Linked DNA regions of Macaca fascicularis. The protein of the gene in region 1 interacts with the protein of each later gene in a pairwise test. Links are inferred from orthologs where the notes say so. Each region holds a gene or a part of one and is shown on either strand. Other genes may lie near its edges.

What was found.
Region 2: the proteins of UBASH3A (region 1) and FGFR1OP2 interact in binary tests that used the Homo sapiens proteins (3 or more experiments, as listed by UniProt). The link is inferred for Macaca fascicularis from reciprocal best matches to the Homo sapiens genes UBASH3A and FGFR1OP2.

Annotation. Positions count from the first base shown.
Region 1 is NC_088377.1:4,618,269-4,622,560, reverse strand, and holds the start of UBASH3A (ubiquitin-associated and SH3 domain-containing protein A), read left to right. Parts: upstream 1-1,215; 5' UTR 1,216-1,229; coding exon 1,230-1,342; exon of another isoform or gene 1,343-1,517; coding exon of another isoform or gene 1,518-1,588; intron 1,589-3,536; coding exon 3,537-3,590; intron 3,591-4,292. UniProt on the Homo sapiens protein: Interferes with CBL-mediated down-regulation and degradation of receptor-type tyrosine kinases. Promotes accumulation of activated target receptors, such as T-cell receptors, EGFR and PDGFRB, on the cell surface.
Region 2 is NC_088385.1:29,706,494-29,710,310, forward strand, and holds part of FGFR1OP2 (FGFR1 oncogene partner 2), read left to right. Parts: intron 1-260; coding exon 261-378; intron 379-1,653; coding exon 1,654-1,796; intron 1,797-3,817. UniProt on the Homo sapiens protein: May be involved in wound healing pathway.

The DNA.
Region 1 (4,292 bases):
TACAGGGCTTCAACATGTTGGCCAGGTTGGTTTCCAACTCCTGACCTCAGGTGGTCCACGCCCCCCACCTTGGCCTCCCAAAGTGCTGGGATTACAGGCATGAGCCACCACGCCTGGCCGGTATATTTATTAATCGAATACTACACAGCAGTAACAGTGAACTAACTGTGGCTACAAGCAATAATGTGGATAAATTTTACAGGCATAATTTGAGGAAAAAGAAACTAGACATGATAGAGAATATGCTATATGGTTCTATTTATATGAGGCTCAACAACAGGCACAATTCGTGTACAAGCGATATAGCAGTTTACTTTCTGGGGGAGGGAGGAGATAACTGGAGGAGGCTGGGCTGGGGGCAGAGGTGCATCTGAGGTTCTGAGAATGTTCCAGAGCAGGCTTTCTCCACCTTGGCACTACTGACATTTTGTTGGGGAGACTGTCCTGGGCACTGTGACATTTCCGGCCTCTACCCACTAGTGCCAGTACCGCAATGTCCACCCCACCCAGCACCACCACCACCACCTCATTTTGGAAATAAAAATGTCTCCAGACATCGCTAAATGTCCCCTCAGGTGGAAGAGGTACAAAATTCCCCTGGTTGCCCTGTTTTATTTTGGGTCGTGGGGGAATTAGGGGTGTGGGTTCATTTATGGAAATTCCTTGAGCTATACACCTATGATTCATCAACTTTTCTGTACACATATTAAGCTTTTAAAGTTTTTAAAATAAAAAAACAAGTCAACGAATGACTGAAAGAACCAGTAAGTTTTCCAGCAGAGACAATAGATAAAGTGGGATTTAATGTCTTGTTTGCAGACAAGGAGACTGGGATCCAGGGTGGGTCAGGGCAGGGGGCCAGCAGGATCCAGGAGGGAACTCATTCTCTGACTTCTCCTCCCACTTCCTTCCCCCACGCTCTCACGCGTTCTTGCTCCCAAACACTAGACAAGTCCCTGTAGAGGCTGATCCCATGCAGGGGCTCAGTTGGACCTTTAGCCTCGAACCCCATGGAGGAAACAGTTAGGATTGGTGGACGCTGCACCCAGCATCCTGCAAACAGAATTCTGAAAACCGGTATCTCATGCAAACAGGATATCAACTTTTGTCAGAAAGATCAAAAAGGGCTTGAGGTTTTTCTTCACAGCCTCAGCCTTGCCTCTCCCCCTCTTGCTTTATCTCCTCATTTCTGTGTGCAGGCGAGCTTCTTGGCCCACAGGCAGGAAGAGATGGCAGCCGGGGAGACGCAGCTCTACGCCAAGGTCTCCAACAAGCTCAAGGGCCGCAGCACCCCCTTGCTCCTGGAGCCCCTCCTGGCCATGGGCTTCCCGGTGCACACCGCGTGAGTACTGCCCAGAGACCCCGGGGCCCAGCCAGCGGGGCTGGAGCCAGACCCTGCTGCAGCCCCTCACATGGAGCTGCAGGGGTGGAGGGCACGGCTTCCTGCCAAAGCAGTGCACCTTGCAGGGTGAGACACTGCCTCTGCACAGGGCCCTCCTCTGCTTTTCGTAAATGAGATGATCTTGACCAAGCTTGTCCAAACCACGTGTGGCCCAGGACAGCTTGGAATGCTGCCCAACACAAATTGGTAAACTTTCTTAAAACATTATGAGTTTTGTTTTGTTTTGTTTTTTTAGCTCATCAGCTATTATTAGTGTTAGTGTGTGTGTGTATTATCAGTGTTAGTTTATGTGTGGCCGAGGGAGGCAAAAGAATACCTCTGATATTCTTGACCTTTTAAAGACCTGCTCTGCTGGCTGAATGGGAGACCCTGAAATGTGTGAAAATCAGAAGCCATGTATTACTCCGGGTGCTCCATTTTGGGGGTCTGGAGGAGCTTGGGGCCTGGTTGTAACCTCTTTGTGTGCAGCTCAGTGACTCTGAAGGTAGCATTTCAAGACATTCAAACTCTAACGTGAAAGGCCCCAAAGCCCGCTGCGTCTCTACCACCAGGACCACCTGTCAGCAGGGCTGTGCTTCCACGCTGCCCAGGGAAAGTCACTTGTCCTCAGGGAGAATCCCCTGAGTGTCTGATAACGAAACAAATGGGTAGGAGACTAGACACAGCGTGAGCGTGACCCTGCTGACCCAAGGGAAAGGCCTGCATGTGGAAGAGCTTAGCCCTCGGAGTTACCACTCTCGGAGAGGGAGGACATGATACCAACATTGGGTTACAGCTTTCATGGCAAACCAGTGCCCTAGATCCGACCCATTCATTTTTTCACATGGAAAAATGTATCAGAAACACACTTTTGGTAACTTTGGGTTGGGGAAGGAGCTAAACTTTCCTTCCACACTATAACGAAAGCTTGGCCAAATTGGGTGAAGTAACTTTGAAGCTAGATAAACCCCTTTCTTCTCCCCAAGTCAGTGCTTTGTCATCACTGTTATGTTCGAGCTAAGTCGGGGGGCTTTGAATGGGGAGTGGGGTCAGGCGTGTGCAGGGCGGCCACCAGGCACCGTCCAGGCAGCACAGACAAGGCAGGTTTCGTCCACTGCTTGCCACCCAGTGCAGGCAGAACACTGGGCCCAGAGAGTGCATTAGTGGCAGGGGTGGGACTCGAACCAGGTCTCCATGCCTTTGAAGGAGTTCACGCTGGATTTTACTACTAAACCTGTAGCATGGACTCCTACTCAAAATTCCTTCCAGTTTAAACATTAAACACATGTTGGAGGAAGAGAAATGTGTATTAATTTTCCCACACCAGAGCACCTCAAAGTAAGGGCCCTGCACCAAGGCTGCCCTGTTCAAACCTCTCCAGGTGGCCACAGCCCCATCGGTACCCACCCAAATAGCAGCACTGGGCATCACGTGGTGGGCTCCTCATGGATGCCCGCCGTTTCCAGTATGCATTCCTGATAAATTACCTTAGCTATATTCCATTCTGTTTCATCTGGTCCAGTTCTACCCAATTCAATGGAATGTACGTACGTCCCAGGTTACCGTGATGAATAAGACTCAGCCCTGCGTTCAGGGAGCTTTGGTCTAGCAGGGGAGAGCCGTGGACGCAAGGGGACTGTGCGAGCCGTGACAAGTGCCTGCCTGGGTGCTTTGGGAAGGGCTGTTTCCCAGCGGGGGAGAGGTGTGGGAGGCGAGCCTGGGGATCGGGCCGTTTTGCTAAGTGATGCTGGGGCGAAGGAAGCGTTTGTCAGGGAAGCGTGTGTCCCAGGTGGGGGCACTTTCCACAAGGTGGGTCCATTTGCTCTAGGCAGTGGGGAGGGGCAGGCCAGGGAATGGGATTGCAGGAGCAGGCGGAGGTCAGGTCCTCAGCACTGAGACCCTGTGCCAAGGGCTGAAGCAGGTAGGCAGGGAAGGAAAGTGGTGGGGAGGTGTGAGCTGGTCAGCATTGTCCAAAACCACAATGGCAGCACTCAGGGGACAGGCGCCTGGGCACGCGCCAGCTGGAAGTTCAGCATCAGGCCCTCTTCAGAGCACATCCCAAAGATCCTGGGTGTGCAAGGCTACACCAGCCCTCTCTGACCCTTTTCCCAAGAATGGGCGACATGACTCTGTGCCTGTGTCCGCTCTTCTGCAGGCTGAAAGCATTGGCAGCCACGGGGAGGAAGACGGCGGAGGAAGCCTTGGTCTGGTGAGTACAGCTGCTCCTGTAGACCTGGGGGTGTTTGGACTGACTGCCCTGTGCTCGAGGGCTCCCTCCCACCAGGGTGGACACCAGGAAAAGCCGGGAGCCTCTGGGTGGGATGGGAACTCTGCGGAAGTAAAACAAAATAATCTCCCTGCCTATCCACAGTGCACTGAGGGAGCGGCACAGGGCTTTGGTTAACCATGGAAAGAGATGGAGAGAACTTTTAACAAGGCTTTTTTCACTTACAAATCTGATTCAATCCAATTTGACTGCCAAGAAGTACAGGTTCATGTGCTTTGTTGAGTAAATGGGGAAGACATGATTGTTGTGTTGTGATAAGCACATAAATTAGGGTAATTGTTAGAATAAAGTAAATAATTAGGGTAAAAATGGTAACATCTGGGTTATATATTAGTACTGCTAATATTCAACCTATATGAGTAATTGAAGAGTAGGCTAGGATTTTGCATCCTTGTGTTTGACTAAGTCCTCCTCAACCGCCTACTACGATGGACAAGATTGAGATAGATAGGAGGATGTTTGTGTTTATCGATAGAAAGATTTGAGACATAATTGACATCTTTGCTGATAGAAATAGTGGCCACCACACTCTGGGGCTGCCTCTGAGGAGAAGGGAGTTTACTTGTGGTCATGAAGCCCTCGAAGGGCACCAGGTGTGTGGGTCAGGTGAGGGCTCTGATTCGA
Region 2 (3,817 bases), on another chromosome or scaffold:
ATTTTAATTAAACATCTTGTCATGTGCTTATTGGCCATTTGTATATCTTCTTTAGATAAATGTTTATTCAAATCCTTTGCCACTTTTAAAAATGGGGTTATTTTCATTTTATTGTTGAGTTGTAAGAGTTCTTTATACATTCTGGATACTAAGCTCTTACCAGATATTTGTTTATATGTATATTTCAGATATATTTGTATTTATATATCAGATATATATATTTGCAGATATTTTCATCCTGCATGTTTTTTCCCCATTAGTATCAGGAAGAAATTCAAGAACTTAATGAAGTCGCAAGACATCGGCCACGGTCCACGTTAGTTATGGGAATCCAGCAAGAAAACAGACAAATCAGAGAATTGCAACAAGAAAACAAAGGCAAGATACGTTACTTTTTGACATTAATCCCGTTTCTAGTCTGTATTCCTGAATCATATTTATTGCTCTTTATCCTGTCCCACATTTGAACGTCTGCCTTGCTTGACATCCTCTTAGATTCTCATCCTCAATAATCCAGTTAGCACTGCTGTTGTTAGCTATGAAATAACTCAGCTTCATTCTCTGCAGTCCCACTGCATTAGCCCCCAGATTAGATGCTCAGTCTCTTGCCTGAAATGTCCAAACTTATCTCCCTGATTCCGGTCTCTCTTCTCCCTTCCTGTCCAAGCTGTCTTCAATATGACCATCAGATTGATATTTCAAAAACCAATCTGATCGTGTAATTCTTTTTTTTTTTTTTTTTTTTTTGAGACGGAGTCTTGCTCTTTCACCCAGGCTGGAGTGCCGTGGTGCTAGCTCGGCTCACTGCAAGCTCCGCCTCCTGGGGTCATGCCATTCTCCTGCCTCAGCCTCCCAAGTAGCTGGTACAACAGGCGCCTGCCACCACGCCCGGCTAATTTTTTGTATTTTTAGTAGAGATGGGGTTTCACCGTGTTAGCCAGGATGGTCTCAATCTCCTGACCTTGTTATCTGCCCGCCTCAACCTCTCAAAGTGCTGGGATTACAGGCGTGAGCCACTGTGCCCAGCCCTGATCATGTAATTCTTTTGCCTAAGAACTTTCATTGTATATGTATTACCTTTTACAGGGACCCTAAAAATCAATTCCCAGCCTTTTTTTTTTTTTTAATCTTATTCCCACAGCTTTCTTCACCGTGAACCCTTTGCTCTTGCCAACACAAATCACTTCCTAAACACATCATCTGTTTTCATGCCTCCCTGCTTAGAAGGTCCATTCCTTCACTTTTCAACTGAGGGAACTCACACTGTACTTTTACAAAGCTTCCACCAATTTTTTCCCACAGATATCTCTTAAATCTATTTGACTGACACTCCACTCTGCACCAACCACATGCTTGTTTTCTCTGCTAGACTCTTGAGGTCTGTGGCCCTTTGGTATTAATATAGAGAGAGCCTGGGCTGGTATTTAATTGCTGTTTAGTACATCTTTGTTGAAATGATTCTCAAAAAATAAGGTTAAAATGCTCATTCAGAAATCTAATAAGGGACTTCATTTGGTGTCTCTTATTGTTATATGGCTAGATTTTTGTGCATTGTGTTTTCTTTTTAAAATGTCCTATTCATAAGTTGCTTAGTGGAAAATTTTATGTACTTTTAACTCAAGTTGGAATAAAGTACAATATTATTCTTGATAGAATTGCGTACATCTCTGGAAGAACATCAGTCGGCCTTGGAACTTATAATGAGCAAGTATCGAGAACAAATGTTCAGATTGCTAATGGCTAGCAAAAAAGATGATCCGGGTATAATAATGAAGTTAAAAGAGCAGCACTCCAAGGTAATCCATTCTATAAATGTGACCTGAAATGGAAAAGAGAGACGATTGATTATCCTGTGTTCAGATTTTTTTTGTAAAAAATCACAGGTATCTAGTAATGGCATTTTAACATGATGTTGAATGTTTCATCTTTTTAATTGCCATTTTCTCCTTTTTCTTATTTTTCCATTTCTTGCTTGTTATGTATCATTTTCTGTTTGATTTATAACTCTCACTGTTTCTTAGAAACTTTAATTTGTACATTGAAAAATAAATTTTATTTTGGATATAAAGGTAAGTCTGTTCTATTCAACATTATTTTTGTAGGGCTATGTGCTTTTAAGAAATATTTCTTAAAAGGCTGGGCATGGTGGCTCGCGCCTATAATCCCAGCACTTTGGGAGGCCAAGGTAGGAGGATCGCTTGAGGCCAGAAGTTCAAGACCAGCCTGGGCAACATAGTGCGACTCCATCTCTTCAAAAAGTAAAAATACTAGCTGGGTGTGGTAGCACATGCCTGCAGTCCTAGCTTCTCAGGAGGCTGAGGTGGATAGACCACTTCAGCTCAGGAGTTTGAGGTTACAGTGAGCTATGGTCATGCCAACTCTTACCTAGACAACCGACTGAGACCCTGTCTCTTAAAAAACATAATTTTTAAATTTTTTTTTGTTAATAAATTTGTGTATTGCCTTCTCTTGCATAAACAAAAAATACTGAAAACTTTTTTGTAAAACCTGAAAGCAGTTTAATGTAGATTTGTTTTTCTTAGGACTATTTTCTGAATAAGGCTAATTCATCCAGACTATAAATCATCTTGTTTATTATAATGGAAAAAACATGGGGTTGAGGAGAAGAACCAACATATTAAAATTTTGCTCCCTTGCCCCAGTATTATATACCAATTGACATCATTTTTTAGAAACAAAGCTGAAGTAGTTAGAAATTAGTGTTTTACCTGCTTTTCATCGCTTTGTCATCCCTGTGTCTATTCCCTTTGGTATGGCTCCATATTTTATGGCAACTGCTATGAAGACAAGTAGAATAATCCTTTCTCACTTACATTTATTTTAAACTGAGTTTTAGTTGCTGATATGAAATAAAAATATTAAACTAGATTATGGAAACTAAGCTGTTATCTGTATTAGATAATGATGATCTGACTATTATTATCAATATTATTTAAGAAATAGTGATTATGAGCCTTCTTTTCCCCATTTGTTACAGCAGAAATAGGAAAGGACGTCTTTTTATATTTCTCTATTATTGAAACACATTTTAGATTCTTTAAACTACTTCTTCCATTTTGGTGCTTGTAGGTGTTTTTCACTTATTAGTAATTAATTCTATTAGAATTAAATACCTATCAAATAGCTCTTTATATGCCTTTATATATTAGAAAACCTAATGATAGGTACCTCTTATGTCAACCAGTAAAATAATAAATTAAAAATCTGTGTTTAATTAAAAAACAAAAAAAGTTTTCTAATTATGCTATTCATCTCCTAATCAAATGGCAATCCGTTGATGTTTAAGTGGTGATCTTTTGAATACAAATTGTAACTATTGTTAATGAGACCATTCTAAAATCATTTAAATTTAAAGGTATAATAATAACTATAATAACTAAGACTTTTTTAAAGGCACTAAGAGGAGTTGACTTAGTATTATTAGTAAAATAAATGTAATCTTGAGAATTTCTAAAAGGTTTGTATGTTTTATAACCTAAAAATAAAATGTTAAGGATCTCAAGGGAAGAATACCATCTCATCTGGTAGCAACTATGACAGAAGCAAATGTTTTCTAAAATGCATTAGATTTTACTATTCACCAGAGCTGGTTTATTAATTAGTAAGGTTAAACATTTCCTAAGATAGCTGTAAGCCATCCTTTTTTATTATGTAGACTGAATTCTTCATCTAAGTTCAGATGATCCTTGCCTCCCATAAAATGACTATTCAGTTACTTGTTATTAATTCTCACTAATACATGTTAATGTTTGTGATTTTGATTTTTCCCAAAAAGGAGACACTTTGACTTAATTAA